Linked DNA regions of Mus musculus: all the other regions are reported to be linked to region 2. The links are microRNA targets in miRTarBase. Many come from high-throughput screens and were not tested one by one. Region 2 holds a microRNA gene; each other region holds the end of a gene's coding sequence.

The links. Region 2 holds the annotated microRNA mmu-miR-467f (AUAUACACACACACACCUACA, at 2,223-2,243, opposite strand). A microRNA usually pairs through its seed, bases 2 to 8, with sites in the 3' UTR of a target mRNA and lowers its output. Matches are read on the target gene's strand: a 7mer-m8 pairs with bases 2 to 8, a 7mer-A1 pairs with bases 2 to 7 and ends in A, and an 8mer does both.
Region 1: miRTarBase lists Nodal as a target of mmu-miR-467f. Seed matches in the 3' UTR shown: 7mer-m8 at 2,925-2,931.
Region 3: miRTarBase lists Pou3f3 as a target of mmu-miR-467f. The part of its 3' UTR that is shown has no 7-base or 8-base seed match.
Region 4: the mRNA of Wdr12 is a reported target of mmu-miR-467f. Seed matches in the 3' UTR shown: 8mer at 3,224-3,231.
Region 5: miRTarBase lists Id2 as a target of mmu-miR-467f. Seed matches in the 3' UTR shown: 7mer-m8 at 2,520-2,526.
Region 6: miRTarBase lists Vps26a as a target of mmu-miR-467f. Seed matches in the 3' UTR shown: 7mer-m8 at 4,568-4,574 and 7mer-A1 at 3,354-3,360.

Annotation. Positions count from the first base shown.
Region 1 is chr10:61,422,613-61,427,851 of GRCm38, reverse strand. It overlaps Nodal (nodal), which reads right to left. Exons shown (of 3, transcript NM_013611.5): 2 at 4,155-4,870; 3 at 2,514-3,368. The coding sequence ends at 3,216. Among named protein-coding and RNA genes, the nearest start is that of Nodal, 7.3 kb to the right of the region's middle.
Region 2 is chr11:69,633,197-69,637,196 of GRCm38, forward strand. Mir467f (microRNA 467f) reads right to left here and starts at 2,323; the gene lies at 2,204-2,323. It overlaps Fxr2 (fragile X mental retardation, autosomal homolog 2), which reads left to right. Exons shown (of 17, transcript NM_011814.2): 1 at 1-202. The coding sequence starts at 122.
Region 3 is chr1:42,697,304-42,702,804 of GRCm38, reverse strand. Pou3f3 (POU domain, class 3, transcription factor 3) reads right to left here. Exons shown (of 1, transcript NM_008900.3): 1 at 2,595-5,501. The coding sequence ends at 4,166. The region is part of intron 1 of Gm46091 (predicted gene, 46091); the gene reads right to left. It overlaps 2900092D14Rik (RIKEN cDNA 2900092D14 gene), which reads right to left and starts at 2,469. Exons shown (of 1, transcript NR_027891.1): 1 at 1-2,469.
Region 4 is chr1:60,073,870-60,079,370 of GRCm38, forward strand. It overlaps Wdr12 (WD repeat domain 12), which reads right to left. Exons shown (of 13, transcript NM_021312.5): 13 at 2,999-4,372. The coding sequence ends at 4,295. Among named protein-coding and RNA genes, the nearest start is that of Wdr12, 21 kb to the right of the region's middle.
Region 5 is chr12:25,091,149-25,096,649 of GRCm38, reverse strand. It overlaps Id2 (inhibitor of DNA binding 2), which reads left to right and starts at 558. Exons shown (of 3, transcript NM_010496.3): 1 at 558-987; 2 at 1,276-1,339; 3 at 2,074-2,851. The coding sequence starts at 640. The coding sequence ends at 1,332.
Region 6 is chr10:62,452,017-62,457,060 of GRCm38, forward strand. Vps26a (VPS26 retromer complex component A) reads right to left here. Exons shown (of 9, transcript NM_133672.3): 9 at 2,827-4,842. The coding sequence ends at 4,729. Among named protein-coding and RNA genes, the nearest start is that of Supv3l1, 4.8 kb to the left of the region's middle.

The DNA of each region.
Region 1 (5,239 bases), not on the chromosome of region 2:
ATGGACAGGTCCACAGAGAAAGGAGGCCTACCTTGTCAAGACAGTGTAAAGGGGCTGGAGAGATAGCTCAGTGGTTAAGAGCACTGGCTGCTCTTCCGAAGGTCCTAAGTTCAATTCTCAGCAACCACATGGTGGCTCACAACCATCTGTAATGGGATCCAATGCCCTCTTCTGGTGTGTCTGAAGATAGTGACAGTGTGCTCATATATAAAATAAATCAATCATTTAAGAAGAAGACAAAAGACAGTGTGGAGGTTAGGTTGCTCGAGCCTTAGTTCCAGCCTTGCTGTTCAGGAGCTTTGCTGCCCGTGACATGGTTCTTAGATCTTATCAGAATGAAGAAATCATTTTACAGGTTTTTAGGTCAGGAGCATCTATGCCTAATGCCAGTACAACCGGTTCTTGTAAAAAATCAAATCGGGCTTGAAAGATGGCTCAGGGGTTAAGAGCACTGGCGGCTCTTCCAGAGGTCCTGAGTTCAATTTCTAGTAACCACATGATGGCTCACAACCATCTGTAATGGGATCCGATGCTCTCTTTTGGTGAGTCTGAAGACAGCTACAGAGTACTCATACATAAATAAATAGATAAATAAATCTTTAACAAAAACAAAAAAACCTCAAGTGATACACACTCCCTTCACTTGCTTGGCTGAAGCAGTATGTAATACTGTGGGTTCCAGACCAGCTACACTGTGAGACTCTTCTCAAAATATGTTAAGCTCAGCTGGGTTTGAGAGAATTGCCAGCCTGTGGTGAGCCGCCATGCAGGGGTGGGTTCTGGGGTGGGGGGAAGGCAGGGGGAGATCTTCCTACTATAACAGGTTTTTCTTTTTTTTAATTTAATGTATATGACTACACTGTCACTGTCTTCAGACACACCAGAAGAGGGCATCAGATCCCATTACAATCACATGGTTGTGAGCCACCATGTGGCTGCTGGGAATTGAACTCAGGACCTCTGGAAGAGCAGCCAGTGCTCTTAACTGCTGAGCCATCATCTCTCCAGCCCCCTGTATAAGGGGGTTCTTAAGGTGCCGATAAACCCAGGTTAGAGTGCAGAGTGTCACAGCTGTGTGCTTTCCTGTGTGCTTTCCCTCTTCTGGTTACTGTCTTTCTCTGCTACTGCTTACCCACCCACTGTCTGCCAGGAAGGCAAGGCAGTTTCCTCTTGGCCCTGCTTGCAGTTGCAGAACACCAGACCTTTGCCTTGGGAGCAAATAACTATTGCAGGCCCACATTCAGATAGAAATGTCCAAGGCCTTCAGCCAAGCCATGGACTAGATCCAGAACCATTGTTAGGAACTGATACCCAGATAGCCCTGGCCAGGGCCTCATGGTGGTCCTGCAGCCAGCATGGTGACCACAATCAGCACGTGTAAAGTGGTCACTTTGTGTCCTTATCCCCCACTTGACATAGGGCAGTGCTTTGTCACCAGGGAGCTTTGTTGTCCCAAGTTCACAGAACAGCCAACTGTAAACACTCCCACAAGCTGAAGCCACAAATAACCATGGCCTTTGGCCCTGTCGTGCTGTGTAGGGACTGTAGGCACCTGCTTCCCAGTGTCCTGGGAGGCCACTTCCCTCCAAGAACTTAAACTCCACAGTGGACCTGAGGCCTGGAAGTCAACACTTGGTAGAGGTGAGTAATCCCAGCATTTGAGAGTCAAGCAAGAGAGAATCGCCTAGAGTTTGAAGCCAGTCGGGACTAAAGAGAGATCCTGACTCAAAACCCAAGGCAGAACCCTGTGGTGACTGAGCCCATTTCTCTGCTCAGCGCTCCTGGGTTTAGCTTTCTCAATCCCAGGCTAGGCTGTAGCCAGCCCAGTCTCTGGACCAGTTTCACTGGCTTGGTTCAACCAAAGCTGGAACAAAAGTGGATGAGTATCCTGGGAAAGGGGAGAGGGGGTGTTTCCTGTGGACTTCAATTCCACCCCTCAACCTTGCCAAAAGAACAGAGATACTCAGATGTCTCAGTGGTAGAACTTTCTACTGCAAGCCGAGCCTCCTGCTATGCCACGCAGAACCTGCAGTTAGAACCTGCAGTTAGGGTACCCGGGCCTAACAGGCCTTAAACTTTAAGGATTGAAAGACTCAGATGGAGAAGGCCTAGAGGACATGAAGCCCCATGGCCCTCCCTGTCATGCAGCTTTTTGTTTGAGACAGGGTCTCACTGTGTAGCTCTGATTGTCCTAGAACTCAGAGACCTGCTTGCCTCTGCCTCAACTGCTGGAATTAAGGGTGTGCTCCACTACACACCTGACTTTTTCATGCTGGGGTTTAACTCAGGGTCCTACGTGTACTAAGCAAGTGTCTGCTACTAGGCCAGTCATTCCCAAGCTCTCAGAGGCACTTCCCACATATGCATCAGGCTCTCCCACTTTTTGTTTTACTAGGGGATGCCAGGCAGTGAGTTCCCCACACCTCACATAACCTCTGCAAAAGCTAAGACCACAAGCCCATCCCCTGCTGGATCGGAACTCAGGAACCTAGAAACACATTGTGAGACAGAGGTGAATTGTCACAGACTTTTAATAGACTTGGGTTGTGTCTGCCAAGCATACATCTCAGGACTCTGGCTTCTAAAGTCCACCATGGCCAGTCCCCTCTTGGACAAGTGCCCACCTCTCTGGTCAAAGGCACCAACTGGCCCTGGAGAACTGGACAGTGGCTTTTTTAGGCAAGTCATTAGAGATCAGAGAGCCCCTGACCAAGGCCAGTATGTCACTGCCAGCCAGCCAGAAGGTTGTGGGTCTTCCCTACCACAGCTTGAGGCAGGGAGAACCAAATGGCTCGTTTATAATCTAATAAAATATATACTAATCTTGAGGGAGGGACAGCAGGTCACAGACCACTTTTGAGAATACAAGAAAGTTACAGATGGCATCAAAAATAAATACATATATATATATATACATATATATATATACACCCCAGCCTTTGCACACAATTTCAAGCAGTTCATAAACCCTATTTCCAGGGAGCCCAGCGAGCCAGCCCCTGCAAGGCTTCCCCATCCTGCCATGCCACGGTAGCCTCTCTCTGGCTTGGCAGGTCTAAGAGCACTGTATGCACAGGGGGCGGGGCTTTTCTCTTTAGCTCCAGCAGGCAGAACTCTTCTAACGTTTCTGCTCCCTGGATAGACACAATGGAGTCTCCTTGGAGTTCATCAGCATTGTGGAATGCAAGCCAATTTCAGCACTCCCCCTGGCTCTGTCAGAGGCACCCACACTCCTCCACAATCATGTCCTTGTGGTGTTCCAGGAGGACCCTGCCATTGTCCACATAAAGCATGCTCAGTGGCTTGGTCTTCACGGGGGCACAGCACGTGGAAGGAACCCGGTGGGGTTGGTATCGTTTCAGCAGGCTCTGAAAGGGAGGAAGGAGGGAGGGTCAGTTTGCATTTGCTGGGGCAAAGGCAGAGTTACTATTTCTGGCTAAAGTGAAAACTTAGCTTCTGGTACAAAAATAGGAAATTATTTTCATTCATAAATAGAATGCTGCCCATGGAACCAGCTCACGAACCCCCCCCCCCACCTCACACACACACACACACATACACACACACACACACACGCGCGGGCGCGCGCCATGCCTGTGAAACATGTTACCAGCCTCGAAAAAGATAGCATTCAGCAAATAAGCAGCTTAATGTAATGAGTAATGAGCTAGATCGCGAAGACTTGCCTAGTCCAAATTCTGAATGTCAGAGCTGGAGGAGCAGAGGTCTACTCTATTCCCTCCCCATCACCTAATTATGGGAACAGGGAAAAGCTGGGGATGTGGCTCAGTCCTTTGCCTAGCATGGGCGAGGTCCTGGATTTGATCCCCAGTATTGTAATAGTGCATGCCTGTGATCCCAGACGAGGGGTGTGAAGGCAAGAGGATCAGCAGTTCAAGGTGATCCTGGGCCATGTAACGAGACAGACAGACGGACGGACGGACTGCCGGAGGGAGGGAGGGAGGGAGGGAGGGAGGGAGAGAGAGGGAGAGAGGGAGAGAGAGAGGGAGAGGAGAGGGAGAAAGGGAGAACTAGAGAGAGAACTAGATAGAGAGAGCGCCCTCTCCCAATGCTTGAACACACACACACACACACACACACACACACACACACACACACACACACACACACCATCTAGCAGCCAAGCATCATACCTGGATGTAGGCATGGTTGGTAGGATGAAACTCCTCCCCCACAGGGTTAGGACACTCGCCCTCACAGCGATAGGCATTGTACTGCTTGGGGTAGATGATCCAGGAGCCCCAGCCAATCAGGTTGAAGTCCACCTGGAACTTGACCCTCCTACACAGTTGGCTTCTGTCTGGCAAATGATGTCGGCGTTGCCTTCTGCCCCATCCGCCCCTCTCTACAGACAGCTGTCCCTCCTGGGCCCGCCAGGAGCTCTCAGCTTCCCAAAGCAAAGTGGCGCCCCCTAGCTGCCTCTGCTCCTGAGGCCGGTTGGAGTAGAGCATGAGCACATTGGTGCTGGCGACAGGTACAGGTGGGGTGTAGGGCTGATGCCAACACTTTTCTGCTCGACTGGACACCTGCTTTTCCAGTGCCCTGGGGTCCTTTAGCCACTTGGAGAGTGGCTTGGTCACCTCCAGGACTGTGCTGCCTGAGGCAAACGTGACCTGAGAAGGAATGACGGTGAACGTCTCCATCCAAATGCGCTCCAGGCAGTCAGCGGGGTCCCGCTCTGGATCCCCCTTGGCCTGGTGGAAAATGTCAATGGTGAGTGGGCCCTCAGTGGGTATGTCCATGGGGCCCGGCAGCTGCAACCGGAGCTCCGCCCATACCAGATCCTCTTCTTGGCTCAAAAAAGAGAAGTCAAACGTGAAAGTCCAGTTCTGTCCGGTCACGTCCACATCTGGGGGGCAGGGTGAGAAATCATAGAAACAGTGTGAGAGAGTTCTGTTAACCACAGCTGGACAGGCTGCCTGCCACCCACCTCTCACCCTCACCCACCCCATTGGCTTGCAATATTATTGAGTCCATCGGACTTATTTTGGCTTTTTGAAGTAGTTTCATACTGAGGCAGAATTGGAACCTGCTATTTTTGTTTGTTGGTTGGTTTTCTCGAGACAGGGTTTCTCTGTGTAGCCCTGGCTGTCCTGAAACTCACTCTGTAGACCAGGCTGGCCTCAAACTCAGAAATCCACCTGCCTCTGCTTCCCAAGTGCTGGGATTAAAGGTATGTGCCACCACTGCCCAGTGGAACCTGCTATTATTTATCCTC
Region 2 (4,000 bases):
CCCGCCCCCCGCGGCTCCCCCTCCGGCTCCTCCTCCAGGGAGACGCCGGGGACCCGGCCCGGCCCGCACTCAGGGCTCTGTTTCAGCTGCTGCCGGGCCAGTCGGAGGTGGTGGCGGCGCCATGGGCGGCCTGGCCTCTGGGGGGGATGTGGAGCCGGGACTGCCCGTCGAGGTGCGGGGCTCCAACGGGGCCTTCTACAAGGTGAGACGGCGCGTCGACCCGGGCCACCCTCCTTAGCCCCCTCCCCCAGCCGAGGCAGGGAAGAGTGGAGCGGGATCGAGTTTCTGGAGCTTGGTCTTGACCCTTAGAACCTTCGACCCACGTTCCCACTCGAAACCCTCCCGTGGCGATCGTGGGAGTTAACCCTCGTGCTTTTATTTTGAGCTCGCTGTTACACCTGCTTTTATCAGCTGAAAACATGGCCATCAGGTCATTCCTGTGCGGGGATGGGAGCCCCGGGTCCCTTTGGAGAAAGCCCTTTTCCTAGCTTCTAATCGACTTTTCTTGTTTTTTTTTTTTTTTTTTTTTTTTTTTTTTTTTTTTTTTTTTAGTGTAGGCGATACTTCAGCTTTTAATCACATCACCCCTGCAGCCCAAGCACATGGAGGATTCGCATTCTTTTCCTACATGACCCCCTTGGGAAGGTCCACTGTCCCACATTAGGTCTTCAGGGAGCCTTCTGCCTACTGGCTCTAGACCATTTGCTCAACTTTTGGTCTTAAATTCCTGTTCCCAGGCTGACAAGAAATGGTCAAAACCCATCTGTGTTATTTAGCATTAGCATCTTTGGCCTCAGGTTTTTATCAGCCAGCCATAAAGTGGATTTGTTGGACAAGTTTGTCACCCACCACACCTATATTCCAAAATCACCTATGAGGGATGGATTCACGCTTATCTCTTTGACTCTAGATATATTTAGGTCATTCCTCTATCTTCTTGGTAAGTTTAAGCTTCACTGTCTCTCAAAGGCCATCTCAACAAGTTCTTATTCTAACAGATTTCTGCTTGTTGACAATCCTTCTGGAAAGAAAAAAAGTATCTTTCAGAATTGCTTCTTTAATCAGCTTTTTCTTTGCCTAAGATTTGATTCCTGTGAACTTTTTTAAGGGGTGTGGTTGGGACAAGATCCCCTCCCTGGCTGCACTTGAACTCTTCCTCAGCCTAGGATTACAGCTCTGGCGTTACTGGTTGAGCCACCATGCCAGACCAGACTTTTGTTTTTTCCTTCTTTCTATCCACCACCCACCCCATCTTCTGTATCTGTCCTGAGTCTATTCTGGATCCCACGCCCCAGATATTTTCTTCTTCTGATCAGTGGGGTTCTGAACATCTTTTGACTTTTATGAGTGGAATTGTCCCGGACACGTTTGGTCCCTCTCTTACTCTTCATCCTGGAGAGAAAGAGGAATTTCCATAGCATGAGATGGGTGAGAAGAGCCCCTTTTTCTTCAGGTTTCCTCAGGTTGTCTGTCCCCCTACCCTAGTAGAACTTCTACTTTCTTATGCCCTTGGAAATAACTTTCTCTGACTCTACTATGAAATTGTATCTTTTTTGTAGCTGAAAAAAGACTTAGGTTTGCCCTACCCCTGTAGATGGTTCCTACCCTCACTTCAACTGATATGCTAGTTATCCATTATAAAGGCCAGGCCATTTTTTTCCCTTTTCTGATCAAGTTCTTTACCCAGTGCCTATGGGTGCACATACCTATTAGCTTTAATGCAGCTTCTCAACTAAGTCTCGGTCTTTTTAGCTTGGTATTTCTGTATTCCTGTGTATCCTTGATGATGTCTACCTGTCTAGTCTGTGTATAGCTGAAGAAGGCTCCTAGCTGATTCTGTCACTTTCCTAACTCTTGGTACTTTTTCTTCAGACCAGAACAGTGTCTCTAACATTTCTGTTTTCTGTAGCAAAAGTCTTTAATTCTTTTGGCTTCTGAGAGGACACATTAATGTTTTAATATCTATTTCACCCACATTTGTATTACCTTTGTTAAAACAGTCTCCTCAGGCTGGGTATGGTGGTACATACTCTAACCCTAGTACTTAGAAGGCTAAAGTAGGATTGTTGAAGTTCAAAACCAGCATGGGGAATGGAATCCAGTCTAAAACAACCCAAACAAACCCAAAAAGTACTCTTTATTATGCTCTCTTTTCCTCGATATGTTAGTCTTCATCTGTATCCTTCTAACATCAAAATGTTAAAAATTCCAAAAAAGCTGTGTGTAGGTGTGTGTGTGTATATACATACATACACACACACACACCTACACACACACCCACCCCCGTTCGATTTCTGGGTACAGGATTTCTCTATGTAGCCGTGGCTGCCCTGAACTCAAACTCTGTGGGATAGGTCTGCCTTTGTTGAGTGCTGGGATTAAAAGCATCCACAACTACTCTTAGTTTGAAAAGTGGTTCTTAAATTGAGTATGAGATCAAGATAAGATATTTGCATTTGGTTTAAGGAAGCTCAGGAGCCATGCACAGCTGGGACAGATGAGTGCTCAGTTCCAATTAACTGTATGACATGGTTGGGCTGGGACATGAATTCTGTTACACATATGGGTATCCAACAGAAAGTCTCTCTTTTATCCTTTTATTCTGTGGGCCAGAGCAGTGATAGATTTGAGGGAAGCAGGGACAGGATTCTTTGATAGTATAGAGTTAATAAAAGCCAAATATTGAGTGTAGATTTTGTATTCTGGCCACTTCAGCACTTTCTGCTCCATGACTGAGTTAAAGACATTGCCTAAGTGTAATGTAGATACTTACCTATTCAAACCTTGCTGATTAATATTTATGACTCAGCAAACTTTGGTGTGAGTAAGGGATACTAACTTTTTAGATCTTTTACGTTTGGGGAGATTCTTTTCTCCTCTCACAAAACTGTTTTACTGTGATTTTTCTAGAGCCAGTAAATATCAGATCTGAGGTCTAAGTTATTTTAGAATTATCCTATCAAACTTGGCTTTTCTGTCAGGATGTGATGTGTTTTGTTAAGGTGGTTTCAGGTGGCTTGGGCTTTTAACCCGGGATGACCTTGGACTCCTGGTTTACTGTGGCCTTTCCTAAGACCTGGGATTACAGGTGCACACCATCAACCCCAGCTTCATAATGTGTTTTGTTTTGTTTTTGTTTGTTTTTTGAAACAAGGTTTTTCTGTGTAGCCCTGGCTGTCCTGTAACTCATTCTGTAGACCAGGCTAGCCTCAAACTCAGAAACCCGCCTGCCTCTGTCTTTTGTTGTTTTTTTTTGGGGTGGGGGGCAGGATATCCTGTGTTGCCCTGGAACTCACTCTGTAGGCTAGGCTGGCCTTGGAAGGTTTAGGCCACCACCAACCTGTTAAGATGGGGTCTTATTGTATAGCCTTGCTTTGTTGATAAGGCTAACCTTGAACTTGAGGTCTCATCTTAGCCTTCCACTGAAGTACATCCTCAGCCAGGTAGCCCTCCTCCGATCTCTTCCTTCTTTCTTCCTTTCCCTTTCCCTTCCTCCCTTCTTTCATTTTTAAAAACATTTCTCCCCATATAGAGACAGGATTTTTATACTTTGATAGCTCAGGTTACTCTGAAACTTAGCACGTAGCCTAAGCTGACCTCCAATTCTTAGACCCTCCTGCCTCAGGCTCCCCCCAAACAGCCAAAGCAGGTCGTATCTGAAGCAATATTCAGGGTTAGATGTTCTCATTATAAGGAAAGAATAGTTTTGTAAGTGGTGACTGGCCAGGTCTGTGAGGTGGGAACTCTGTATTCTCTAGAATATTATTGGTACATTTTCTCCTAAGCTCTGCCACTATCCTAGTTACTGTACTTAGGGCTGGTCCTTGAATATTGTTAGCCTTTTTTTTGAAGCATCTGGCTTTCTTACTGCTTTTGATGTTGAGGATTGAAATCAGGGCTTTATACTTGCTAGGCACACATCACACGGAACTATATTCTAGCCAAACCCCCCTTATCTAATCTATCTAGTGTTTTTTTTTTTTTTTTTTTTTTTTTCTTC
Region 3 (5,501 bases), not on the chromosome of region 2:
TGAATAGTATATACTGCATTTGATATAAGAACCAATTATTCTCTGAATGTTGAAAACCATTCATACAAAACCAGATCATGAGTATGGTAATGAGCAAACACTGGAGGCCAGGAAGAAGCAGAGGGAGTCTCTAAGATCAATGAGAGAGAGAGAGAGAGAGAGAGAGAGAGAGAGAGAGACAGAGAGAGAGAGAGAGAGAGAGAGAGAGGAGGAATAACCCTTAGCTAATACTAAGAAGGGAAAACGCAGAGCAACAACAGCAAAGTGACTAATATTTTAAATACACCTTGAATTATTTATTGTACAGACTTGTCAGGGGAAGGTGATTGGGTAGATGGGGTGATCAAAGCTTGGATAGTGGCTCGGGAGCCACACTCTACTGTAAACTATAACTGGGCCTAGTTTGAAAGTAGCCAAGCTGATGGACCAGAACTTTGTCACTTTCCTTTGGGTTGGAAGGGGAAGAGTAGGCAGTCTGAAATGGAGGAAACAAATGGGCAGTTTACGAAGCACAAGACATTTGTGCTGCATAAGAACACAATGACCAAATTCTTTTTTTTTTAAAGACCTGGTGATATACAACAATATGTTCATTATTTACATGTGTAACAATATGAGCCTTAGCACAAAAACTCTCATATCTTCTCTGCTGTGTTTCAACCATCAATTTCATTTTGTAAATACATTCAAAGGATTGACTTTAAAACAAAAAGTGCAAGCGTCAGCTTACTTTACACAACACACAATGACAAGCAAAACTGCTTGGTTTGCCTATCTTCTTCAATCAAAAACGTACTCTGCTACCCATAGATCTGGGCTTCTTCCAAAGTAACCAGCAAATAGAAGACAGGGTAAAATCTAACATTAGCTCTTTTGTCATGAGCTAAATCAAGAAAGCAGATACCTCCTGGCATTTAAAATAGACCCATTCCTTTCCTAGTCAGGCACCACCATTCCAGCAGGAAAACAAAACAAAACATCAAACAAACAAACAACAAAACAAAACAAAACCTCGCCCTTAATCAAACAACAAAAATAAAACAAAAACAAAAACCCACCAAGATCCCTGTCACACACCAGTGATGTGTTCCATTTACAAACAGCCTGGCCCATTCCTCACTTTCAGGGAGGCCTTCTTGGCTTACCCTCAGAGCCTCTAAAACAACAACAACAACAACAACAACAACAACAACAAAACAAACAAATAAAAAGATGATGACTCTCACCCTACCCCAACTCCAGGCAGTGTGATAACAATAACAGGAGAAACAGAAAACAAAAGCAAAGAGAAAAATAAAATGTGGTTTCTTATCTGTACCTTCATGTCTTTCTGTTTAATAAATATGGCCTTTTCCAGATTTCATGAATCAGAATGCTGGTGATTTTTTTTTTTTTTACTACAATTTGGTATCTAAAATAATGCAACCCAAATACATGGTTGTCTGGCTGGGCTCAATTTGTGCTATTGGGTCTGTCTGTGAGAAACTATTTCTTGTCCTCATAGTTTCCCAGAATTTTTTAACCCTTGAATCTATATTGGGGGAGGGGAAGCCAGCAAAGATTAGGCAAAAGGTGAATGGTAGCTGAGATTGGGGGAAATGCCTGTGTAAAAATCATTGTTTTTCCACCTAAGTACTTAAAAAAAAAAAAAAAAAAACCACATACAATACAAGGACTCAACCAATCAGAGCCTTTCTCCTCTTTATCTCTCATACCCTGAGGTGTTGTATTTCCAGCTTGTAAATACTGATGCATCAACTTGATAAATGTGACCATCCTGCAGGGTCTTATCTAAAAAGTGACCAAAATAACTAAAGCCTAGGCATTGGTAAGGAAGATGAAGAGTTACTATGCCTCTGAAGGACCAAACCACAGAAATGGGCAGCCTGGAGTCTGCGCTAGGGACAATCTCAGCACAGAGCAAAGCAGGGCTCAGTACCATCATCTTTCATGAAAGAAATATAGGAAGAAAAGCAAATATAGGCTTAATAATGGAAATTTAATCACACATAGTTATCAATGGGGAGTAACTGATATCAAAATATTTCATGAATTTATAAGCTATCCTTCGCAACTATTGATCCACAAAGACAGAAAGAGAAAGAAAAGAAAGAAAGAAAGAAAGAAAGAAAGAAAGAAAGAGAGGAAAGAAGGAAGGAAAAGAAAGGAAGAAAGAAAAAAACAGGGATATATTGGAAGGCAAGGTGATCAAAAAGAGGCTGACCTAAGAGGAACTGTATTTACCATGACTGGCTGGTGGGCATATTTTCACTGGTGATGTAGCAAAACACAGGTACTTTCAAGAAAATGGCTAATATTTATAGATCACTCAGCAAAAACACTAGAGACACCCATTGAAACTGAGGGTAAGGAGAATATTGTGAAATTTATGGACCAACAAGGAGTGAATAACCACTATTGCTAAAGCAACTCCTTTTAGCAACCCTAGCCTGTTCTGGAGGTTTCAAACATACCTTTGCGTGGGGAAGCTCCGCTCTCTTAATGCTATGACTTAAGGGTCTGCATTAGTAAAAAAATATTTTCTAAAGGATTCTTTTCTTCCCACACAGTGTTTATGCATCAGACACAGACCATTTCATTCTAACAAATTTATTTTCTCAATCAGCTCTTACGGAATCACTACTCAAATTAAATTACAATCAAATGATCACATCAAAAGATACCCTTATTACCTAACAACTGTCCATATTTTCATTTCATTTTGATTTGTGCTCGTCTGAAAAAAACACGTAATACAAGATCTGGGGAAAAATAAATTACCGTTTTGCAGCAGTTCATAAGTATTTTGAATAAAATATTAAAAGAAGTCATTTAATGAAAATATAAAGCAAATATTTTTAGATCAACAACGGATCTAACGATTCTATATTGCCGTCATTTGAAAAGTCTGTTTATTAAAACCTACCAAAAACACTGCTTGGAAATGGCAGTATTACATAATCACATCCGCAGCACCCATTCAATCAAAGTTGGCAACGCATTGAGGGCAGAAGTCAAGGGAAGTGCGCGGTTGGTGCTGTCTTTCCACACCCTTTTATCGGAGTCAGTCCAGAAATAAAAAATAAAAAATGTTAATAAAAAAAATATTAGCGGCGGAATCTTTAGGCATGGTCCACCCCGAGCGGCAGTCAGCAAAGCCCGGGTTTGGTGGTGGAGGCCTGGCCCTTGTGGGCGGTCTCAGAGGCTGGGCCCGGGCCCCGCTTTTGTGCCCTCTCCGCTAGTGGATTGCGGCTGGACGTACCTACCCTTCAGCCTCACCCAGCCTTGGCTCTTTCGCGATGCTTTTATTTCCAAGTTTACTGCGGAGGATGCTTTCTTTTGGCTTTCTTGTTCAGTCTGTGAACTTCAGAAGCGGCGAATCTTCCCCCCCAGACTCTGTTTCTCCCTTCTTCCCATTTCTTAGTTGATTTATTTGTTCCCCAAAGACTTGAATATGGCCAAGAAAAACACTGTCCAAGAGCAGAGTCAGACCTGCAGGAAACCTGGTGCGTCTTTCTTTTCAGGTCGCTCCCCATAAAGAAAGTTTCCATGGATCTTTTAGGCAGCCCTTTTGGAAGAAGTGGAAGAAAGAGGGGGGGGGTGTCTCTCTCTTATCTCCGAGGCAGGTGTTCTCCACCGACGACGCCATGCAGGACATCTCGGTGTGGACAGTACCTCAAGTGTGCAGTTTAGGTGCGTTAGGCATCTTCACCCTTCTTTCAAAACAGAAGCAGAACACCACCACAGTATAAACGAGATGTCCCTGTTGCCCCTTTTCCTCTTCCGGTTTTGTTTGTTATATATGCATATAAAACAGTCTTGGTATTTATTATGCTTAAAAATTTTTTTGGTCCCTCCTTTCTTGGACTTCAGAAAGAGTCTCATCGGTCTCCAGCTGTCCTCCCCCCTCCTGGGGCCGTGGCACGCCTGTCTTTGGGCGGAGGGGAGGAGGCCTAGATGCCCTGGCACTGGCCAGGTGCTGGGTCTGCGCGGCGGCAGCGGCGGCGGCGGCGACGGTGACGGCGGCGGCGGCGGCAGCAGCAGCAGCGGTGGTTCTCGGCGGCGGCGGCTCGGAGACGGCGGCGACGGCGACCATGGCGGTGCTGACAGCGGCTGCGGAGGTGGCGGCGGCGGCGGCGGCCCTCTTCGCGCTGCGCCCCGGCATTCACTGCACGCTGGTCTGAAGCCCGTGGTGCGGTGGCGGTGTGTCAGCGCTCACGGTACCCACCTGCGAGTAGACATCGTCCGGCGTCTGCTGCTGGATGCCAGGGGGCGTCATGCGTTTTTCCTTTTGGCGTCGGTTGCAGAACCAGACCCGCACGACCTCCTTTTCCAGCTGTAGGCTGTCGGCCAAGTTGGTGATTTCCTGCGCCGAGGGTTTAGGGCACTTGAGGAAGTGGCTCTCCAGCGCGCCTTTGACGCTAACCTCGATGGAGGTCCGCTTCTTGCGCTTGCGGCCCTGCGCTGCGATCTTGTCAATGCTGGTGGGACTGCCAGTGCTCGAGTCAGCCTCCTCCAGCCACTTGTTCAGTAGCGGCTTGAGCTTGCACATGTTCTTGAAACTGAGCTGCAGGGCCTCGAAGCGGCAGATAGTGGTCTGCGAGAACACGTTGCCATAGAGCGTACCCAGAGCCAGCCCCACGTCCGCCTGGGTGAAACCCAGCTTGATGCGCCGCTGTTTGAACTGCTTAGCGAACTGCTCCAGGTCGTCAGACGTCGGCGTGTCCTCGTCCGAGTGAGGGTCGTGGCTGTTGAGCCCTGGCCCCGCGCCGCCGCCGCCGTGATGCGGGGGTCCCTGCGCGTGGTGCGGGTGCGGCGGGTGCGGGTGCGCGTGGTGGTGATGGTGGTGATGATGCTCCGCCAACTCGGGCGTGTCCCCGCGCACTAGCCCGGGGTGAACCAGGCTCTGGGCTCCACCGCCCGCTCCACCGCCGCCACCGCCGGGCCCCGGGGGCGCGCTCAGCATGCCGTTCACCGTGAAGCCTCCGGGCTGCGAGTACAGCAGACTCTGCGGCGGCGGCTGCTGGCCACCCGCCATGGACGGGAGGTGAGCGGCAGCGGCGGCGGCTGCGGCGGCAGCGGCGGCGGCGGCTGCGGCCCCCCAGCCCCCAGGGTGTCCTTGGTGAGGGGGCGGCGGCGGGGGCCCGAGGTGCGGCGGTCCGCGGTGATGCAGCGCGGTACCGGCGTGCAGGTCTTCGCGTCCAGCGCCTCCCTTCACGTCGGGGCCCTGAGGCGGCGGCGGCGGCGGCTGTGGCGGCTGCTGGGGGCTGCCGGCCATGCCCACCGCACTGCCCGACCACGGTGAGCTGGCTTCCACGGCAGCGGCGGCAGCAGCGGCGGCAGCGGCGGCAGCGTGGGGCAGGGCGGTGACCCACTGGTGCGCGTGGCTCAGCATATGGCCGCCGTTGCTGGCGGCCATGGCCCCCTGCATGAAGTCGCTCTGGACCATCTTGACCGAGGACGGGTCCCCCCGGTAGGCGCCCGAGGTCACGGCGGCGCTT
Region 4 (5,501 bases), not on the chromosome of region 2:
AAAAAAAACAACCAACCAACCAAACTAACAACACCAACAAACCCAACCACCTCAAAACCAAAACAAACAAACAAGCCAAACCAAAACCCCAAACAAAACAGTAACAAAAACACCACCAAAAAACAACCAAAAAGTAAGGCAGCATGGCTTAAAAAAAACAAAAACAAAACCAACCAAAACGCCTTTACACACACACACACACACACACACACACACACACACACACACACACACGTACTGTTTTCAGACACCCCAGAAGAAGGTATCAGATCTCATTACAGATGGTTGTGAGACACCATGTGGTTGCTGGGATTTGAATTCAGGACTGTCAGAAGAGCAGTCCAAACACTCTTAAGCGCTGAGCCATCTCTCCAGCCCCCAAAACTCATTTTTAGAAAATAAAGGATTTAACACTTTTAAAATGTTTACATGAGATTGAATTAAGAATATACAATTGCTACTTTTCCATGAACATAAAACTTTTATACTATTAAAAATGTTATCCTTTCTCATAGGTTCTTACAACTGAAAAGAAGGTAAGATGACTTGGGATGTGGGGCTCCACAAATGAGATCCAAGCTGGTGGTAGGATTTTTTCCTTAAGGCAAGGTCTCATTATGTAGCTCTGGCTGGCCTGGAAGGCACTCTGTAGGCCAGAGTGGCCCTCAAGCTCAGAGATAGACCTTTCTTGGACTCCTGAGTGCTGGAGTAAAGGCCTTGGACACCATGCCCATTGTGATCTTTCCTTCTTTAAAGATTTATTTTTTTTTAAAGATTTATTTATTTATTATATGTAAGTACACTGTAGCTGTCTTCAGACACTCCAGAAGAGGGTGTCAGATCTCGTTACGGATGGTTGTGAGCCACCATGTGGTTGCTGGGATTTGAACTTCGGACCTTCGGAAGAGCAGTCGGGTGCTCTTACCCACTGAGCCATCTCACCAGCCCTAAAGATTTATTTTAAATGATTGTTTTGCCTGTGTTTATGTGTATGCATCGGATCACCAGATCACCTGGAAGTACAGTTAATGATTCTGAGTCCCAAATTAAATATTTCATAAGTTGCTTTTGTTGTAGGATCTTATCATAGCACAAAACCAAAACAAACACCAAGACACAGGGTTAATTGTATAATTATGTGCACATCTGTTGGGAGCCGACTCTTAGCAGAAAGCTGCTATCATCTCTGCAGCCATCTCGGGCAATTTACTTACATGTGGTACTTTTCCACTGTGATGAGAGACTTGTTTTCCTAGCATGTTTTTGCAAGCCTACCACAGCTGTACACACTCTGATAACATCTTGTTTTTCTCCTATACATCCTGGACCTGTGGTTAAGTGTCTCCAGCTGCACATATCACTACCCAGTGAGTGCATATATTACCCATAGTTGCCTTTCAATAAATGAGACAGGAGACTTGAACCTTGAGCAGATAGCCTGTGTTGTCTCCATTCTTCAAGTCCCTTGCTCCTCAGTCCCCACTCTTTCTCTTGCAGACCCTATTGACTGACCCACGGACTGGGTCACACATCATATTAAACAGTCATTCTTTCCCTAGAGCCTGGAAGGCATAGATATATGGCTATGCATAGTTGTTAAGTTCCAAATGGAATTCTAAGAGGGTATTTTCTGTATTCTACATAAAATATAAATTTTAAATGCCTTGCTTCCACTGGGTCTTCTCCAGGTAAAGCAAGGTTTTCTTTTCGTATTTTCCACGATAAAATATTATTGCTTCTAGGAATCTAAAGGTGGCTTCAGAGGAAGTAAAATTTCCTGGTGTATGAAGTATTATGTACACTTATGTTCTAACGGTATTCAAGCTATTTAGATTTTTCTGTGCCTCTCCCTCAGTTGGAAACAACCTGCCCCCTCTTTCACCTGTCCAAATGTGGTTCAGCTGCCTCTCAACATGAGATCCTTGACAGCTGACTTCCTTCCCACCGCTGTTTACAGCCTTTTTACTACCTCGTCTTCCTTTCTCTGCACTGGGACACCAGTGAGGCTAACTTCTAATGTCTGCCTCTCACTTTGTGCCTTTTCCCTAACAACATTCTGGAGTTGAATAATTCAGTTTTTCCCTTTAATTGACTTAATTAGGTATATTCAGCCTAAATTTGTGTGTGTGAGCACACCTATTTAACACAAGGCCTCAAACATGTTAACTAATGATATCTATCACTAAGTTATCCTCCACTGCCTAAGCCTAATTTTAAATTGAGGAGTTTTATTATAAACACTAATAACAGATATTGGTTAGGTAGGAGATCCAGTCTCGATGTATTACAGACTCCATTCCTATGAGACAGCATAAATAATCCCTATACTCCAATTTATCCCAGCGATAGGTGAGCAGGTCCAGGTGAACCTCAGAAACAAACTTGTAAAGCCTGTTTCTGCTAGAAGGAAAGGGACCATGGAGAGGAAGACAACGCTTGAAGAAAAAGAAAAGCATGTTAAAAGATGGCTAGATCCTTTAGTCTTGTGTTGGCCTCTTACTTTCCTGGTTAGGGACTAAGTTCTAAGCACTTAAATAGCCCGAAGGAGAAAAGTTTGGCAGATTAAGAGGCTTAGATACAATCCTCGTCAATGATACCTGGCCCCTGGCTTTTCGGGCTTCCCTGTTGAAATGGCCTGAACAGAAATAAGGTTGCCATGGAACCAGGATTGAGATTAAGACTAGGTAAAGGGCCAGTTTCAGATGCCACACCCTTTCTTCCATTTGTCTTTGATACATGGGCCTCCTCACCTTTGTTCTTCGGAATGCTTGAATGCCGTATGCGTACCATTTGTGTCTGGTGCCCAGGAGGCCAAATGTCTGAATCCCAGGAAATGGAGTTTCAGACGGCTGTGAGCTGCCAAATGGATGCAGGAAATGGAATCCAGGTCCTTTGCAGGAGCAGCAAGTGCTCTGAACTGCTGAGCTGCCCCTCCAACCCAGCCTTTTTACCTTAATCTTACTCATTACGTACTGCATTATCAGCCTAGACAGTTAAGTCAGGAAAGACTATTTTTTTTTTTTATTGCGTTTGAGTCAGGGTCTCTCTGTTTATCCCTGGCTGTCCTGAAACTCACCAGGCTATCCTTGAACCCACAGACATCCACCTGCTTCCCAGGTGCTGGCATTAAAGATGTGAACCATCACTGCCCTGCTGCTCAATGAATGGACAAATTAACATCTACATTGTTTTAATGCTCTGAACACTCAACAGTCTTATTTTCTTATACACACTACCTTTTAGTGTGTGGTGTTTTGTTGTTGTTGTTTTTTACTATTTGCTTTTAATGTTAGATGACTGTTTTCCCCATACTTTTATAAACTTCTTTTTTCTTTAAATTTATTTACAGGTTAGTTGTATGCATGCCACAGTATGTGTGCATGTGTGTGGGGAAAAGGACAGCTTGCAGGAGTTCAGACCTGAGAACTGAACTCACGCTATCAGAATTGGCAGCAAGCATCTTTAGTCACTGAGCCATTTTGATGACCCTCCTATAAGTTTTCATTTTCTTTATTTGAGACCGAGTCTCATCCTGCTCCTGACTTGAACTAGTTATGAAGCCAATCCTACTCAAGTCCCAAGCCTTTTGCTTCTACTTCTTAAATGCTAGGGTTATAAGTGTGTGCTATGATGCCTGGCTCCTATAGCATTATTAGTCTTTTCTAGATGTTTCTCTTCAAATAGCTAACTAAAAAGTCAAACTAAAACAAAACAAAAAGACAAAAAAAAACAAATTTACTACATTTGTACTATATCCCTTTAAAAAGTATACTTTCTGAAATTCAAGTTTTAGGAGTCTACATAGGGTAAAATGTAGACAGAATTCAGACCACATACTTACTGTATTTTATAAGCACGAAGGACAAAGACAGTAAAATGTTGCTATTATGAAAGATGAACTGTTATCCAAATTTTAAAAGGCTGCTTCCTGTCTCTGCATTGACAATGATATCAGAGGATTATCCATTGATTTCTTTCTTATGGAGACAGAGACTCAGGGAACCATGGCTGGCTGCCTTTAAGCTCACTATACAGCAGAGGGTGACCTTGAATTTCTGATGCTCTTGCTTCCAACCTCTAGGACTGGGATTACAGGAATGTGCTACCATGCCCATTTTTCTTTGGGCAGTGCTGGAGATAGCATGCAGGGCTGTGCACATTTTAGGCAAGCATTCTACCAGCTGAGCTGTACTATAAGTCCTCTCTCAAATTTGATTCAGTTTATGAAATAACAGTGAGACACTAAGAATTAAGACAAGACCCAACAAGGAAGTCTCTTCTCAGCCATTCATTTTCAAGCCCCCACATGGGAAGTGGTAGGGGAATAGCTGTAGGAATACAATTTATTGTCTGCTCCTCCACTCAGAAGTAGCTGTGAGAAAAGAAACAAGAAAGTAAATATAAATATACAGTAGTCAGATACGATTAAACATGACTGAGTTTTTGTTTTGTTTTGTTTTTGAAGACAGTTTCTCTTTGTAGCCTTCATTGTTCTGGAACTCACTCTGTAGACTGGGCTGGCTTCATGCTCTGAGATCTGTCATCCTCTGCTTCCCTAGTGCTCGGATTAAAGGCTTGCACAACCACGCCTGTCGAGACCTTCTTCACAGGAACATGTATATCCTATATACAGACCATTCCTGGCTTCTTTCCCTACTTTCACATATATATATATATGTGTGTGTGTGTGTGTGTGTGTGTATAAATAAATGACTTTATGTATGTATGTAAAACGGCCCAGCTTGAAACAGTATTTAAGGGGACAATTAGAACAAAACTTCTCAATTATATAAGCTGAACATCCTCTGTCTAAAATTATTCAGTATAGGTTGGAAATGTAGCTCACAGGTAGAGCTGAGCCCAGGTGAGCTGTAGCTCACAAGCTGAGCACAAGTGAGGCTCTTGGCCAACAGGCAACAGCAAAAGCAAAAAACTGCAAGCAGAAAAGGTCCCAAAGCAGTAGAATCTTAAGTTTTTTGAGTGTTGACATGAAGCCACAAGTGTATAACCTCTCACCCAACCTTATGTGACAGGTCACAGTCAAAAGACAGGCATGTTCAGAGTCTTTTATAAGATCACCTTCAGACAATGTGCATAAAATACAAAAGAAGCGAAAGAGAAGTTTACATTTAGATTAGGGTTCCATTCTAAAATACCTCTTAAATGTGCAAATATTCCAAAATCTGAAATGCTTTCGATCCAAAGCATTTCAGGTAAGGGATGTTTTCTGAAGACAAGTATTTATTTACACTATAGCATAAGCTGGCCTCAAACTTGCAGTAATCTTCCTGACTCAATCTTCCTGTAACTGAGGTCACAGGGATGAACTACCACACCCAAAAATAATCAAGCCTTTTAAAAGACAGTATATTATTTGCAGGCAAATGTATACATTAATTGTCTAGCAGCTCTAGGACTTGTATCTGGAAAGAATTCTTGGACAACATGCACATAAAAATGATTGTAAAATATAACCCATATTTATTTTGTAAAATATACCT
Region 5 (5,501 bases), not on the chromosome of region 2:
AAGTTGCAAAGCTTCACGCTAAACCTGTCGTGGACGTGTATGTGGGTAGGTTCCCCCCCCCTCCCCAAATAGCTTTCCTTTATCTTAAAAGAAGGAACACTACAAATGTGACTTCCCAAAAGCGCGCTTCTTTTCCCTTCTGCCACGGTCGCTGTCTTCCCTAACGCTAGCGACCTGTGACTTCCCGTCTGCTGTGCGGAGAGAGTGGGGCTGCTGGAAGTCCTGGGGGCGGGTATAGCTAGCTCCGGGCACACCCCCGGGGCAGGGGTCCTGCCAGCTCTGGGAATTGGAATAAGGCGGGCACAATTGCACACTCAGGCCCCCTGGGCGCCCAGCGCACACTGTACTCAATTTGCCACCCCAGCTGGGCTCTCGCCCGCTCCTCCCACCCTACAGGCATTGGCTGCGAACGCGGAAGAACCGAGAGCTCATACTCACCAATGGGAGAATTCGCCTGGTATGATGGACGGGAGCCCTTCCACCAATGGCAATTCAGGGATGCCCGATTGAGCGGCCAGGGCGAGTGCACATAAAAGACGCCCCGCCCGGCTCGCGCTTCATTCTGAACCGAGCCTGGTGCCGCGCAGTCAGCTCAGCCCCCTGTGGCGGCTCCCTCCCGGTCTTCCTCCTACGAGCAGCATGAAAGCCTTCAGTCCGGTGAGGTCCGTTAGGAAAAACAGCCTGTCGGACCACAGCTTGGGCATCTCCCGGAGCAAAACCCCGGTGGACGACCCGATGAGTCTGCTCTACAACATGAACGACTGCTACTCCAAGCTCAAGGAACTGGTGCCCAGCATCCCCCAGAACAAGAAGGTGACCAAGATGGAAATCCTGCAGCACGTCATCGATTACATCTTGGACCTGCAGATCGCCCTGGACTCGCATCCCACTATCGTCAGCCTGCATCACCAGAGACCTGGACAGAACCAGGCGTCCAGGACGCCGCTGACCACCCTGAACACGGACATCAGCATCCTGTCCTTGCAGGTGAGACTAGCTTGCAAGTACGCCACTGCCCAGACGCTCCGGGTCTCCCGAGCTGTCACTCTTAAAGCCCATCGTAGAGACAGGTTCATTAACTTTATTTTTGAGGAAACTGTATATTGAGCGTCATGTGAAATCGCTACTTATAAGTTCTGTGTGGGTTGCATCTGGATCTGCGCTGTAGCATGATCCTGTTTCATGGGACTTGTTGGCACTTTTGTGAAAGGAGGAGGGGGGCTACCTTCCTTTAAGATTACCTAATATCCTGCCTTTTATCCTCTTTCTCCCCAGGCATCTGAATTCCCTTCTGAGCTTATGTCGAATGATAGCAAAGTACTCTGTGGCTAAATAAATGGTGAGTGTTGCGGGTGCCTCCTGTGTGCGCGTTTCGGTAATGTGCTTGTGTGTCTGTTAAATGTTTGGTTTGGTAAATGCATGCTTACTTCACTGTGTTACGGGTGCCGCTTGACTTACCACATAGGCATGAAGGGGCTTGTAGCTGTGGTTGCTCAGGACTACAGAACAGTTGCCTTTACAAAAACAGAAAAGAAAGAAAAAAAAGAAAGAAAAGAAATGCCAGTAACTTACTATGAAGGTGTCAGGACCAAGTGTGGCTGACTTTTATGAGCCCAGTGGCGGTACACTGAGGTGGTAACCTCAGCTGTAATTAATCTTATCGCCACAAATTCCATAGTGATTCTCTTTTCCCAAAACTGTAGTCCTCTGAGATTTCTCTGGCTAGCTGAAGACGGCTACCCCGAGCCTTACCCCTGTGCTCTGGGATCCAGATTTCCATATCTGTTAACTAAAGGGCTGTTTTCAATCAAATAATTGTTACAAGAAGCAGACTGGCGCCTGTGAGCGGGCTGTTAGAGATCCAAATAGGAGACTGGGTTTGGGAAGTTTTCCCCTGGAGTCTCCGCTATTTTCATGTTTAATTTGTGCTGCTGGGGCCGGGTATGTGTGCCGCATCTGGACGCCAGGGTTTGGTTAAATGCTCAAACTGTGGCTTCCTCGGCGCCAGGCTCGCCCGCCTCTGCCCTTAGGTTACATTCTCCTAAACTGCCTTTCTCTCCCAATCTTTTGCAGGCATTTGGGGACTTTTTTTTTTCTTTTTACTTTCTCTTTTTCTTTTGCACAAGAAGAAGTCTACAAGATCTTTTAAGACTTTTGTTATCAGCCATTTCACCAGGAGAACACGTTGAATGGACCTTTTTAAAAAGAAAGCGGAAGGAAAACTAAGGATGATCGTCTTGCCCAGGTGTCGTTCTCCGGCCTGGACTGTGATACCGTTATTTATGAGAGACTTTCAGTGCCCTTTCTACAGTTGGAAGGTTTTCTTTATATACTATTCCCACCATGGGGAGCGAAAACGTTAAAAAAAAAAGAAAAAAATCACAAGGAATTGCCCAATGTAAGCAGACTTTGCCTTTTCACAAAGGTGGAGCGTGAATACCAGAAGGACCCAGTATTCGGTTACTTAAATGAAGTCTTCGGTCAGAAATGGCCTTTTTGACACGAGCCTACTGAATGCTGTGTATATATTTATATATAAATATATATATATTGAGTGAACCTTGTGGACTCTTTAATTAGAGTTTTCTTGTATAGTGGCAGAAATAACCTATTTCTGCATTAAAATGTAATGACGTACTTATGCTAAACTTTTTATAAAAGTTTAGTTGTAAACTTAACCCTTTTATACAAAATAAATCAAGTGTGTTTATTGAATGTTGATTGCTTGCTTTATTTCAGACAACCAGTGCTTTGATTTTTTTTATGCTATGTTATAACTGAACCCAAATAAATACCAGTTCAAATTTATGTAGACTGTATTAAGATTATAATAAAATGTGTCTGACATCAATGCCGGGATTCTGAATGGTTTTTGAGGTGTCTTGTGTTTGCTTGGGGCACCTCCTTCTGTTCTCTCACCCCCTCTATCACATGTGTGTCCCGTGGCGGCCCAGTAGACTGAAACATTGTTGCCATTAGGAGGGATGGGGACTGGAAACGCAACACACCTAGCAGTGTGGCTCTGTGCCTGTGCATTGGGACTAGATTTTAAACGGGACTGTAGAAGACTCCCCTTGAGTTCCTAGGTGTGCCCTCTAGAAAGACACCTTTGGAGCAGAGAGAAAAGGGGCTTTGGCTGTCACTGGTCACCCCTGGGGGTTACGCTTTTAAACCTGGCCACGAACTCCAGAAGTCCTTCGTCTCCTCCACCTGTGGCTCACCCAGGCCTGCCTGGGCCAGCTGCTCTCCCAGTTCTGTGGCTATTAAGTGCTCTTCACCCTTGACTGCACTCTGGACCTCAAGGAACGGAGGGAAGGTGCGAGAAAAGCCCCTCCCACTCACCAAAAAAAAAGGTATCACCAACATTTCCATCCAACTCAGAGCCTTGAGGACACCGGGCCGCTAATTTGAATATGCATTCAATAGGTGCTTAGATTTAGTTCCCAAGTTGCAAGTGACTTGGTTGGGAAGGGGTGGTTCTGGAAAGTAGTCCAGGGAAGACAGGCACAGCCTAGAGAAAGGATGGGACAAGAGGTACGAGTATGTGAGTCGCACCTGGTGCCACTTTCTAGGCCAAGCAGGTGTTTGGGTGGCGCCTGCTAGTCTGCCTTGGCTGCGGTGTTTCCTCTCCCCTGACACCGAATCCATCCTGGTGAATGGAGGAGGGGCAGCTTCGGTTCCGGTGGTCCCCGCCTCCTTCCTGCAGGGCGGGGTTGTCCCTAATGAATATACCCGGGATGCACGCTTTGCCCATTACACCTGGGTTGGAGACTGCGCGAGCGAGAGCCCTTGGCAGCCGCCCAATACACTAGTCACCTGTTGCCTACTATAGCCCCTGCATGCACACCGGGCCAACCCAGGTGCGCTCTGCCATCCCACCCACCCTCACCCTTCTGCCCCGCCACACACACACGCACACACACACACACGCACACAAAGCGGGAGAGAAGTATGAGAGAACAAGTTGCTGCCCCAACCCTGCCTGTCCTCAGCTTCACGTCTGCCGGATCTCATTCTCCCCTCGGATGGCTTTGGGGATTTGACCCTGAAGTACAATTGTGCCATCGGAACTGCAGGCCCCTTCGGAGCACCTGTAGGGTCGCTGGACAACCAGCGACACGTGAATGACTTCTAATCAGCCTCAGCCTGGGGGAAAGTGGCTCCTTTGGAGGGGACTTCTAACTGCAGCTGGTCGCGCCGTGGAGGCCGAGCGCCACCTTCTGGCAAATATGAGGATCGCCGCTGGCCTACGGTTCTGCTGTACACAGGCATGGATGCAGGGAGCCGGTGGCCAGCAGCGTTATCCTGACCAAGCCTTCTGAAAATGATTGATGTCATCCCTAAAGACTGCCGCTAGCACGAATATATAAATCCGCTCCACCTCTTTACTGCGTACAACCTATTTGCCAATTAGCATCTTACTAGTTATGCTATCTCCCGCCTACCAGTTTGTGACTGGAAAAATGACTGCACAGTTGTTAGGTCAGAAAGTTTGGCAGCATGCTTCCGCACTTCTGTCCCTAACTTTTTTTTTTCCTTAATTGCTTCATGCCTTTTAACCAGAGCCCCAAGTGTTACTTTATCTCAGTGGTTTTCAACCTGTGGGTCGTGACCTCTTTGGGGTTGAATGACCCTTTCATGAAGTCATATCTTAAATATCCTGCAGATCGGATATTTGCATTATGATTCACAACAGTAGCAAAATTACACTCATGAAGCAGCAACAAGAACAATTTTATGATTGGGGGTTACTACAACGTGAGGAACTGCATAAAAGGGTTGCAACACTGGTAAGGTTACGGACCGCTGCTTTATCGGAATGAAAAATGAACAAAGCCTCCTTACGCGAGACCTTAATGCCAGGTTTGGTTTTTTTTTTCTTCCTCTAAATAAGATGTAGGTCTAGAGGGTTTGTGCACATTTTATCAGTTTCAAAAATTCTTTCAGCTTCTAAATTTGAGTAATTTGAGATTTTTTTAGAAAAAGATTTATTTATTGTACATATGAGTGCACTGTAGCTGTCTTCAGACACACCAGAAACGGGCATCAGATCCCATTACAGATAGTTGTGAGCCACCATGTGGTTGCTGGGAATTGAACTCAAGACCTCTGGTTGAGCAGTCAGTGCTCTTAGCTGCTGAGCCATCTCTCCAGCCTGAATTTTGAGATTTTTAAAATCATAACATTGAGGCAAATTTAAACATTCTCATGCTTCATTTGCTGATATTTTTCACCATGTAAGTTTTAAGTTTCCTTACATTGGTTTATTTATAGTGCTAGTTATCAGACCCAAGGCCTTGATAATACACGGCCGGCACGCACCACCAAGCTACACCCCCAGCCCTTGACCTTACTCTTCTCAGAACGCTTTCTCTGTTCCATTAACAAGCTGTGGTTTCTAAGATAACTCCGTCTCCAGCACGATGCTGGGTTTGTTTCTTTAGTCTGTGGTGATGTCTACTACAGATTCTGCTAATGCAGTACCTTCTTTGTAATTTTGA
Region 6 (5,044 bases), not on the chromosome of region 2:
CTGGGCTGCGCGAGATAAGGAAGGAACCAAGACAAAGCTCTCTGCTCAAGATTCAATTTTTACTATTTCGGCACTCAGTTATAAAGCAGGGGAAGGGGGCCCAATTCCCGCCAAATAATCTCGGGGTCCAGTAGCAGGGTGATCACGTGTGTGGCTCCAAACAGCAAAGCCGCACGTTCCAGCAGTGAGCGTGGCAGAACGATTGAGCGGGAAGCTCCACCCCTGAGCAAGCAGGTTTCAGGCTGGGGGAGGGGAGACTACACCTTTCTTTTCTTACTTTCTCTTCTTTTTGTTTAGGTTTTCTGTTGTTTTGTTTTGTTTTTTGAGACAGGGTTTCACTTTTGTAGCCCTGGCTGTCCTGGAACTCACTTTGTAGATCAGGCTGGCTTCAAACTCACAAAGATCCCATCTGCCTCTGCCTCCCAAGTGCTAGGATTAAAGGCATGCATCACCACATCTTGGTGAACTCGTTTTCTGAAGACTCTCAGGATCTGATAAATCACCTTAGTTCTGATAGGTTATTTCTCTGCCGGTGAAATGAGCCAAATCAATCCAGATTATAGTAAAGGCAGGTTTATTGGAAAGCTGTTCTTTGGCGATTTCACTGTCCACAGGGACTAAGGCCAGGGAGTCACCATTGAGGGGTGGATAGAGAAAGGGCTTTCAGAGAGTGGGTGAAGGGGAGGAGAAGTATACAGAGTTCTCTTGTTGTCTGTCTCAAGGATAGGAGAGCTGGTCTTTGACTTAGTGACAACCAGAAGGCAACCTGGGGTATATCACATTGCTTTTCAGGGAGCAACCCATTACCCTCCTCACCTGTTACATGAGCAGTATTAATCCCTTCCCTGGGATAATACTGACAGTTCCAGTAAGTTTTATCCTCTGTCTTTTGTCTATAAGCCTACTCTCCCTCCTTTCTTCCTAGAACAAGAGTTCTCCAGCCATATAAGCACGTACATTCCTGGGCCTATCTCCTCCTCCCTGTGCTCAACTCAAAGAGGCTCGTTTTCAGTATTGCCTTCTCCAGTCTGGTCCCTTTGACCCTTTGATTCCCAGAGTTAGGTAAACTTTTCTCCATAATGGGGACCAACTATTCCAACCAAGTCTCCCCTATGATGCAGTATTAAATCTCCCCACAGTTTTAGAGAAAATTACAGTGTTACCCTCATTAAGGAAAAACTGTTTTTGTGAGGTCAGTTGGCCTTCATGTAAAGTAAGCTGGCCAGCAGCAGGCTCCCTGGACCCCACCACTGCCCAAGCCATCTGGCTAAAGGTCAGAGGGACCCCAGAACACCTCAATCTGTTTCTTTATATTGACCATTGGCTAACCATTGTACAAAATCCCCATGCCTGGCTCAGAATCTGTGCCCTCCAACACTCTCCCACTCTCCTAGTCTGGAGTGTACACCCCCCCCCCCCCTTTGGAACCCTTTGTTAGTTCACCCCCCTTGGAAACAAGACTCTCCCTCTGCCTTACAATTCTCACCCTACTCCAGGCTCCCCCACCCCTCCCCAATTAACTCTACATCCCTCCTCTTCCTCTTTTCTTTCTCTTTGTCCACCTTCCCCAATGTTGAACTTAAAAAAAATGAGATCAAAAAAAAAAAAAAAAAAAGAAGAAGAAGAAGCCAAGTGATGGTAGTATATACCTTTGACTCAAGAGTATGTCTCAAGTTTCAGGCCAACCTGGTCTACAAAGAGTTCTAGACAACCCGAGTCTAAATGCTGAGACCATGTCTCAAACAAAATAAAACAAAACAAAAACTCCAACCAAGAAAACAAACAAAAAACTGAGGTTCCCAGGACAACCTTACTAGAATTTGAGTGGAGCAAGGTGTATGGAATTGGACATAACTAGGGTGAAGATGTATTCTGCAATGTAGAATCTGGCCATGATGTAAGAAGCCAAGTACTAAGATTTTCAGAACATCCAAGTATTTAAAAATAGAAAGGTACCTGTTTTCCTCACTATGCATAAGGGTGAAAAACTTTAAATCTGTAAAGTCTCTGCAGAGGTATATGCCACTGGAGGATGCTTTCATAAATGATCAGCAGTTAACCCGACATAAACAAACCAGGAGGTAGAGGGGCGGATTAGAGTTAGCCTCTGTTGACAGAGTGCTTGCTCAGCATGCTGCTTAAGATGCTCAAAGCCTTGGGTCATGAAGTCTAAGCACCATGTAAACCAGGCATGGTGGTGCAAGCCTATAATACCAACACAGGGCGGCAGAGACAGAGGACCACAAGTTACAGATCATCTTGGTGTGTAAGTTCAAAGCTAGCCTGGACTACAAAACCCTATTTTATTATTGTTTTCTTAAATGTATTTTAAGGTCATCCTCAGCTATATAGTGAATTTGAGATCAGTCCTGGCTGTAGAGACCAACCTAAACAAAACAAGAAATGTGATTACTGTCTCTTCAATCCTGGATAATCTTGTTTTTATGTTAATGCCCCAATATATGAAAAACAATCTTTTTTTAGATGGGGGTCTCGTTACACAGCTCTAGCTAAGCTGGAACTCACTATGTAGACCAGGCTGACCCTGAGGTAGTCCTCCTACCTCTGTAACACACATGCTGGGACTATACGTATGCAGCACAACTCCCATTAGAGTCTGATTTTACCGTCTAGGTGAGATCTAGGTGTGACCGTTTTTCTAAAGCTCCTGAAGTGATCCTGGCATGTGACTAAGATTGAGATTATCTATGACACTATATTCTGCAGGGGGCAAACAGATTTAGCCTATAGTTAACTTTTTTATTTATCAAGTTTTGACTGAAATCCCCAAATTTTAAGTTGGTTATGCATCAGAAAAGAATCAAATGGAATGAATAAGCATTTTATATGAGTTTTAAGCAAATTAATTAAAAGCATTATATAACTACTTAAAACTGAAGCTGGAGAACCCAGAGATGGTTCAGTGGTCAACAGCACTGGCTACCTTGGTTCTGTTCCCAGCACCCCCATGGCCGCTCACAAACACCTGTAATTTCAGCTCCAAGAGATCTAATGCTCTCTTCTGCCCTCCTTGGGCACTGCCCACATGCCTGCACAGACATACTTGCAGCCAAAACAGCAATACATATAAAATAAATAAAACCTAAAAAAACAAAGCAAAACAAAACCTTAACAAACCTGAAGCTAGTACTACTAATAAAAGTTCACTGTTGTGACTGTCTTCCTAACCACTGGGCAATGCTGTAATGACAAGATTTGAGAATAAAGTCATTTTATTTAAACTACAAACTTAAGTTTCTGTTTCAAATTATTTATTTTATATATCATGGTTGCACAACTTGAGGCTGGTTAAATACAATTGTTTTTCAAAATCTCCTTGAATATTTCCTAGATTATACATGCAAGTGACCATGAAAATATTTGGCATTTTGAAACTTTGAGACTCTGAACAGGCACTTACATGAAGGAGAACATGGCCGTCCTTAGAAACCCACATTGACAATAGCTGCTCCAGGACGTGGTATGTGAACCTTTGGCCAGGGCTGGTTGCTGGCCATTTTATCAAAGTGCCATCATAGTAAAAAATAGGTTTAAGGAAACATAAGTTGGGCTGTTGAGCTTCCTAGAAAGTAAAGTTAACTGACAAACCTGTACTGAGGTGTATCAAGGAACACTGGTACAGAAACCAACAAGCCCTGAGTGAGAGTGGCCCCCACACAGGCTTCCTCCTGCCCCATACGCCTCAGTTGTGTGTCTGTGCTCAGCTGACTGCAGCCTTCTTTTCAGAGAATGGTATGAATTTAGTGTTTTTTGTTCTGTTTGGTTCGGGTTTTTTTAAATAGACTACGTGAAGTCAAGTTTGAACTAGCCAATATTCCAGTTAACAAGAAATTGTCCGGCTATGGACACTTCGGCTGGTTCTCCCAAGCTCTCTCATTCCTAGGTGACGATTTGCATACACATGGAAAGTAGTCCTTAAATTAAAAAATATATACATGTTTCAAAGTCTTTATGGAAAAAAAATGATACAGGTTTAACAAGTTCTAAAATGCCAATGTGTCAACTCCACACTGCAGAACCTACATGATGATACAGAAAGTCATAGCAAACGTGGTCAATAAGGGGCAAGAGGGCCACGATGACAAACCATGTCATCCCTGGGGTGACAATCTTTCATATACCTCAGAGATCCCAAAGATTAAAATTCAGGAGGCTGTGAATGGTAGACCCAGAAGTGCCTACCATGTAACACCAGGTTGGTTTCTGATCCACATGTAAAAATAAACACAATTCTCAAAAATACTGAGGAGCCATGCCTTAAAACTTTGTAGGACATAAGGGCTGCTCAGGTTTTTCTCATTTTACTTGAACAAAAATATTTAATTTTTTGCACATAGAGAATAAGAGGTAATCATTAGCATGAAAACAGAGAAAAGGATTTTCAACATTATGCATAAAGAAAGCAAAATTACAAATACCAGTCTACTCACATGAAAATCCTTAATGTTTATGCTTCTGAGTGCTTATCAGTGTGCAGTAAAAAAGAAAACAAAAAAGGCAGCTTAGGAATTCTCCAGTGTTTCCAAGAAGCACTTTTTAAAATGTATATACACAAAACCTTTAATCATACTGTAAAATAAACGCAGCACTCTAGGATAAGGAAGACTAGCAGACGTGGAGTTGGGATGTCCGCACGCTGCGACTGTCGTCAGCCAGCTGAGCTGCTCTCTTGGCCCGGTTCTTGCACTTGCTGCTCTGCCCACCTGCTTACATCTCAGGCTGCTCCGCAGAGGCCTGCGAGTCTGGAGATTCAAACCGCTGGTGAAAGTTCGTCCTCTGTTTTCTCAGTTTCTCGGGTGCTTTTCTCCACAGGATGATCTCCTAGAGGAAATGCAAAACCGAAATGGAGTTCTCTGCTATGTCTTAGATGGTCACCATGGAAATACTGGCTGCAACTTCAATTTTAAGCTGTAAAACAATCCCAAATGCTCTGTACGAAAGCCCCCAACTTTCCTGGGTGACCCTTCCCCTCTCTCCGTACTCACAGTCAACCACCACAAATCCTAGCTGTATTGCTTTAGAA